2 linked regions of the Oreochromis niloticus genome follow. The protein of the gene in region 2 purifies or fractionates together with the protein of the main gene of each other region. This does not show direct contact. Links are inferred from orthologs where the notes say so. Each region holds a gene or a part of one and is shown on either strand. Other genes may lie near its edges.

Evidence for each region.
Region 1: the proteins of ikbkb (region 2) and prkcq purify together in Homo sapiens (affinity purification with western blotting; 4 studies listed by BioGRID). This does not show direct contact. The link is inferred for Oreochromis niloticus from reciprocal best matches to the Homo sapiens genes IKBKB and PRKCQ.

Annotation. Positions count from the first base shown.
Region 1 is NC_031981.2:17,752,537-17,756,461, forward strand, and holds the start of prkcq (protein kinase C theta type), read right to left. Parts: upstream 3,073-3,925; 5' UTR 2,985-3,072; intron 1-2,984. UniProt on the Homo sapiens protein: Calcium-independent, phospholipid- and diacylglycerol (DAG)-dependent serine/threonine-protein kinase that mediates non-redundant functions in T-cell receptor (TCR) signaling, including T-cells activation, proliferation, differentiation and survival, by mediating activation of multiple transcription factors such as NF-kappa-B, JUN, NFATC1 and NFATC2.
Region 2 is NC_031977.2:25,966,386-25,970,310, forward strand, and holds the start of ikbkb (inhibitor of nuclear factor kappa-B kinase subunit beta), read right to left. Parts: upstream 2,925-3,925; 5' UTR 2,744-2,924; intron 761-2,743; 5' UTR 744-760; coding exon 639-743; intron 1-638.

The sequences.
Region 1 (3,925 bases), on a different chromosome or scaffold from region 2:
CAAAATAGTTTTTAAAAAATCTACTAATTTCTACTGATAAAGTTGAAGCTCCACCTCTGATGGTGGAAGTAGGGATGGTTTTGCTTTTGCAGCCCGTTTCGCTTGCATTACCGGCTCCATTGACCCCATGTTATGGTGTAAATACATGTCATATTTTACTTGCTTAATTTATAAAGAACTGATGAAGGTTAAGTCCACACATGCTGCTTTTAAGTCAGATTTTTCTTTTACACATAAAAATAGGGAACTAAGTATAAAAATAACTGTAATTCGTCAACAAAATGTATTATTTTTGTTAAAACCTAAAGCCTGCTTTTAATAACGCCTACCATAAATAAGGTTTTTGCTGAGTTTTGTACTTCTTAACTTTATCTCTTGCTGGTTTTCATAGCTGTGAAAGTTATTTGTGAGGTGTTACTTCAGATTTGAAATGAGAGCCACCTTGACTTGATCTGATTAAATTTACATATGCCACATTTCCAATTACTGGCCTGGTGATATGAGTCAGTCACCTACCAGCAAAATCTTCCAGGCAGTGCTGTACTGAAAATGCAAATTCAGGGTTGTATTAGACTGAAAAGAAGCATGTTAATAGGAAATGTAATTCTGCAACGGAATCACCCAGTAAAAGCTGAAAATCTATTTGAATCTATCTGTTTCTGCAACTGCAGGTGCAGCGAGCCAGTTGTTGTTGTTGTTGTACTGATAAAAGAAGAGTGAAGGAAATAAAGTGTGCGCTCCTTACCCCCACCTGTAGTTTTCTTTTTAAAGCACACTGATGTGCATAACGAGCGATAACAAGCAGGTGGGGAGCTGATTACAAACTTAAACCCATTCTTCAAACCAGAAGAGCAAACTTTGAACTCCAGTGCTGTGAAATTTATAGACAATGATGCAGAAATCATCGAATGTGGTTCCTTTTGAGAAGAAAATTGCAGGAAAAAGTGGCAGCATTGAAAGAGTTGGAACGAGCTGATGCTGTCGGTCAGTGAGAAAAAGGCTGATTTTAACAACCTAATGGGGCTTCAAGATTTAAGATGTTTGTGTTTCCTACACCTCTGTGGTGTGATGCTCATGAAACACTCACGTTATTTACTTAAATATACTTTCTAAAATAACACAATGGACTTCAATAAACACCAGATGCTGCACAGCTTTTGAGTTGATGCCCATGATGACATCCTAAAGGCATTGCCCTCTTTTTGTCAGAGCAACAGCTCTCTAAACCTAAGTGGATTTAAGCAGGACTAACACAGGGGTCATTGTTAAAATAAGCTGCCCCAATCCCTTTGATTACTATTTAGAACTATTTTCCCTCACATATAAGAACACAAACACACTTTTGTGTTTGTCTTCGAACAGAAGCCGTCAGATCTCTGTGATGCACTCGTGTGGGTGATGTTTATCTACTTCCAAACAGCCAAAATACAGAATAAACAGACTTTACTTTGCAGTGTGCGCTATGAGAAAACACAATGTGTGCTGGCATCTGAGGTGCCACCACCCGTTGTTCCTCAAATGCCAACACCCCCCCCTTCGCCCCTGCCCATCCTCAAACCCACTCATGGAGGTACAAAGAAGGTCAAGTGCGAGTGATCCGGTGCTGGAGACCTTTCAGAAAGCTTTCATGAGAGGGGACAAAGTCTAACGAGCCTCCCACCTGACCCTCTGTACCCAGCGACATCAAAGCACAGCATGCGCTTGCTTTCTGAAGCAGCTAAAGGAGGAGGCTGGAGAGCTTTGTTGTTACTGACAGGGGGTCCATGTGTGTGGCAGAGGCCTTTCACCATACAGTAGCTGCTGCTTCGACACTCAAAGCATCCCTGAAGCGGTCACTCATTTAAAGACACACAAAGAGCTGACCCTCAGCAGCTAACGTCAGCGAAATACATTGCTTAGTTTGACACTGCGACTACAGGCCAAAACCTTTAAAGGTCAACCTACACTAATGGCTTCATTAGAGGCTAAACCATAGCATGCAGACACAATATTGCACAATGCTGGCCCACATTATTGACCAATATCAGCCTATTACAGACATAGTGGTGCAGGAGGAACTTCTACATAATATAATGGAAAAAAAACTGTGGCATTGTGAACTCAGCGCTATCTAAACTAAACAATAACACCATAATTGTTTAATTTCAATGTAACTCTAACAGACTGCATGAATATTTCTATAAAAAATGGCAGATGAATAAATATATAATTTTTTTTTCCGAGTTTCTCAGTTTAAGACCCCAAAATCCAGCCGTATTGATCAGGTTCTTATGATTTACTGTGTAAATTGGCTCAAATGAATTTCCGCTCAATCAGCTCCAGACAGTAAAATGCTGTGAGTGTATTTATGTATGTTGATGCATTTTCTCATACTTTAAGTTTAAAATGATGTCACCATTTTGCAATTTATCACCTTTACTTGTGAGTTTGTTATTTATAGAATTGTTTTGTTATTTTTATGTATTGAAAGACACCTATAAATAAATTATGCCTTATTTTATTGTTCAGTATTATGGCACAAACTACCTAAATGCAGAAGTGGGTAACCCCAGATCAGCTTCCTGTTTACACAATAGTAGTAATAATAATAATAATACAGTAGTTAATCCACAAGGAAACCCCTACATGTAAGTATTTTTAGTTTAGCATTTTTAGTGTATTTGTGTTCATACAAATGTATAGTTACTAAAGGTGTTAAGTGTGACTCACACCCACATACACACACGCACACCCACACACACACTTACACAACTTTATAATACTCTAAATACAGATGTTTTCTTGTCAGTGAATGAATGCAGATTATTTTCACCCGTTCTGTGTTTCTAAAAATAACATCACCACCTAATAGCAAACGTGCGTTTCGCAAATTACAAAGCAGACGCTTAAAACCTAAAAAGTGTGGAGAAATGTTTTTCTCTCGCTCTAGTTATTGACTAAAGTTCAGAAAACTCGGGGTGGAAACCAAAGGAAAGTGTACTGACCTTAGAGACACAACAGTGCCCGCTGAAGTTTAGAGCTCGCAGCTGAAGCTGCTCTCCATCCGAGCGTTTGTAGACCGGAGGGAGCACAGTGGGCGCATTTAAGCGTGATATCACGTGGCGTTCACGGACTGTAAGGATATTCTCACTTCATGAAAGCGGTCTGAAGTGATCAATCAAATTTACTAAAACAGCATAGATGATGTTTCAGTTTTGCTGCTTTACTGCCTATTTGAACTAATAAATAAATAGTTTAAATAGGTGGTCAAAATTAAAATACGATAACCAATTAAATGAAATGCATCATACCAAATACTTTACCTAAGCACAACTCTGTCCTTCAATAGTTTTGGTGTCAGCTGATTTTCCCATTGGCTTAGAAATATTTATTTGCAGAAGTTGCATTTCCGAGCACACAGTGAACGCAACTACCCCATCGCAGCGTACGAAGTGAAACTTATTGGTGAAACTACATAAAGAAAAACACCCTGACTTCAAGGCAACATTCAGAGAGCTTTGATGGAAAAGTTTTATTTTTAATGTTTGCGAGGGAGTACCCAAATTAGCATATTTAATATCAACCCTTAATATCATTGTCGATTCACCTGCTTTCCCTGTAAGTCGACTGAGAGACGACTCTAATACACATGTAGCTCATATGTTGTGGGTTTGTACAGCTGACTGCCTAATATACTGTGAAACCTTTAAGCTGGGCTGCTCGGTGAGTTGATAAAGGAGCAAACATCCTACAATAACAGAAATGCTGTTGTTGGTAGTATTAATACCCAGATCACGTGGTTACCTGGTGCTACCTGGTGGATAAACAGGAAAAAGACAAATAGATTTATTCTGTGAAAAGTATCACTGACTGGAGACACTAATTCAAGTGCATTTATTTTTAAAGTTGTGCTGTAGTCATTTTTTCATGTCTGTTCTCACTATTT
Region 2 (3,925 bases):
ATAGTTGTTTTGTTCAAATAGAAATAAATTATGCTTTCTGAAGAAAACTAGCAAGTTTAAAAATTACTTACTCTTTTAAAAACTAAAATACTTAGAATTTCATAGGGGACCTAATATTTTTATCCTCAAGAGTTCTGTAGTATCAAAATAATCCAGTGAGAGCTGTTTATACATTCTTTCACACAATTCCACGAGTGTCATCTTAGTGAAATACAAACAAACATTAGCTAAAAGATGAGTTTAATTTGTACCCTACAGCTAATCCACCTCCACGGTCATTATACTGTTTACATGAGCTTTCGCTGTAGGAGGAACAAGGAAGATTTGCCTCAGCAGGTTGAGGAAGTTTTCCTCATTTTAAAGTTTTACTAAACACAAAGAGGGAAACACACAAGTGAAGTTTCATTTTTGATTCCATTTTAAAATGACTATTTGCATCTAAACAAAACCTTAACTTTAAAATTTGATCAGCAGTGGTAAGAGCCGATGGCTTCCCGGAAACTCCAGCAGGACATGTTGAATTATCTTGTCAGTGTAATAGTTTGTTATTCAAACATCCTCTTTCCTGTCTATTATGTCCTAAAGATATAAGATTCTCAAAGATGTAACAATATGCTAGAAGTATGTGGAGTGAATACCTTGTTTTGCCATCTTGTGACATTCCCAAAGCCCCCGGTGCCGAGCCGCTCCTTCAGCTCCCAGGGCCCGCAGCTCTGCGGCTGCTGCAGGGGTACTCGATTCATGACCTCCTCACCTACACCTAAAACAACAAAAATAGTGGATCCGTCATGACCCATTACTAAGGCTAAAATGTTGCGTTTGTCCTGAAAAATGTCATGGGAGTATGCATTTGTCTGAGCATGCAACCAGTACTCAAGCAAATAACTAACTGCTTCGTCTTGAACGAATGCCTAAAAAAAGCCTTGTTTCAAGCTTCTCAGCTCTGAGACCTACAGTGTTTTCTGGTTTGTACAGGAACATGCAAAGGTCTTGAGTCAACCTTTTATATTTTGCTAGCAAAACTGATAATAGGTGCATTGATTGATTGAAACATGCAAACACACATAGAGATACAAAATAACATAACAGTTTCTACGATTCTAACAATCTTGAAAGCTTCCTATCTTGTGTTTTTCTACCCAGGTCTGTCTTTCCTGCATTAGCACTGTTTGGGATTACTGAAAGAAACGAAGCCATAGACAATTAGATTCTTTCCAGATGGTACAGTGTGATGGCTCAAAGTCTGACAGTACTTGTCTGTGTTCATAATTCCATTAAATGCAGCCCAGAACCATGACTGACTCTCCACCGTGTTTTATAGATGGCTGTAGACACTCAATACGACGACTGGAACTAGAATTTTCAGGTCTGGTTCATCACTCCGTCAGAGCTGTTGCCACTAACTTTTCAGTTCAGTTCTCGTGTTGGCCTTTTCTCCCCATTTCCCTTCCTTAAGAATAGCCACGCTTCCACTGAGACCATTTCTGATGAGGCGTCAGTGAACATTAGGTGGATCGACTGAAGGTCAGGATGCATCTCGCAGCTTCTGTGTCAGGTCTTTGCTGGACTATTTCCCATTTCTAAGAACATGAGTTTTAGTCTTGCAACTTCATCTTTTGCCTTCCACTTGTCCAGTTTCCTCAAACACACTGCACACTATGCCAGAATATGCCAACCGTTTGACTGATCGGTGTTTGGGAATCACTTGGTTGATGCAAAAACATTATATAAACATTTTATCCCCAACATTTATGCCCTTGTTTTTGTTTTGTTTGTAAATTCATCTAAAGGAATGGGAACAAATGTGTTTTTGCAAAAGACCTTTAGCGTCTGAATATACAATTTTAAGTTAGTTCTTTGCTATGTTATATGTAAACAAAACACTGGCTCATTTCTGGGTTAGGTGCCTTTTTGAATGATTCATAGGCCACTGTTAAGTGGCTTAACAAACCAAACATTCCCCTGAAAATGATCAGGTACAAGGACTAGACTAAAAATGAGAGAAAAAGCAGCGAATGTCCAAAGAGTAAGAGTAAAATGTCCAAGAGTAAAACATTAATTTGGTAAAAATGAGTAACTTGCCTATTGGTCAGGGAAAGTAAGAAAAGAAATGCTGTGTTTGTCCTGTAGGTGATAACACGTGTATACAGAAACAGAAACAACAGTGTTGGTGGCTTCTAGAAAGCAAAAAAAAGTAACAAAAAGCTGTATGAATTCCCATAAGCTAATTAACCTATTATAAAAAATGAAAAAAAAAAATCTAATTGGGAATTTATTGTATTATCAGTATTGTTATAAATGTGACTGTAGGGGTCTGATGGATGAGATAAAAGCTCTCCAAACTGTGAAACTACATAAACACTGAGTTTATGTTTTACAGCAGCTGCAATAAAAGAGACTAAACATACATATAAACATTCCTATAGGCGAGTCCAGCTTATTAAAAAAAAGCCCGCTACGTGTATATAAAGAAAACTAGCTGTCATATAGTCGCAGACTATTAAGAGGCCCATTAAACACTACAGGGGCGCTACATGCTTGAGGGGTTTCGTTTTAAGCTTCATAGACTGACTTACAGTAAATATACCGCCAACCTTTTACTCATTATAAAAATATTATTCACCGACACACAAAAATGTACTTTTCTTTTGTACTTCTTTGTTCATATAAAATGAGCTGGAACTAGTCTTCGGGTTTTATTTTCAAGGAGAAAAGCGTCAACATTTCAACTCCTAAGTCCTACCTTAGACTCCACACGCAGCGTTCACGCGTTTTCACGCCTTTTTTGTGTTTAAACGGCAGGTTTACTGTGTGTATCCGAGCTTTCAATGAGTAAAACTTTAATAAAAACTACTGCAGCACATTTGGCGACACAACAAATCTCCAAACACTCAACTTCCTGATACTGATATTTCCTGTTAACCTGACGAAGAAACAGACCCGCCCACTTGTAGGGAAAGTCCTCGGATTATGTCCTGCTGGTAGGTTTATGCACTTTTAAACCATACATTATGAGTTTAATCACGACTAAACGGAAATTTTCTTTAATTCCCCCAAATTAAATTAAGAAACCCATATCATAATTGTAGAAAGTCACTCAATTTAGAAACAAATACTACATCAATAGAAAAAAAAACTTATTACATTTTTAAAAAATTGATTATTTTAGTTTAAAAGTTAGTTTAAATGTTTAAGTGACGAATTATCGTAACTCTTAAATCATATTCCGTCATGTACATTAATAATGTGGCATCATTTGTGTCTTTCTACAGTAGCAATGTGGCGTCCAAACAGTCATACCCACAAAGGTCACTTCAGTGTCTCTCTTTAACTAGAAAAATGAAATACGGGGTCATCGAGGAAGAATGTGACCTTGCTCATCTTTCTGGAAAATAATCTTGCTGATCAAATGCTTTCAAAAACAATGGCCATCTTTTCTTGTGGGCGAGGCCATCCCAGCTGTCATAATTCAAGAAATAAGTACACCTGGATCTGTCAGGGCTATTACATTCACATTCACACCTGCGCTCTATTTAGAATTGCTGATTAACTTAACTCTGTGCATGTCTTTGGAGTGTGGGAGAAACCCACGCTGACACAAGAAGAACGACCCGGTTTCAAATACAGGACATTCTTGTTGTGAGGCAGTAAACACTGAACCACTGCATGAATGTATATATGATATCACTGCTAAGGGTACAGCAGCATTATTGTAGAATCAAACTTCCCAAACTGCTTGACTCTCCCCTCTCATCTGCATCACGACCTGACAGCTCATATTAACCTACTGCATGTCTCCTTCTTGGCTGCCCCTCTTTAGTTTCATTGGTTTCTTTTCTGTCTGGATCTTGCCCTTGTAGAGCTTTAATCAAATCCAGATGCTCAGATTCTGTGCAGTAAAAAAATTACAGAAAAAGTAATATTT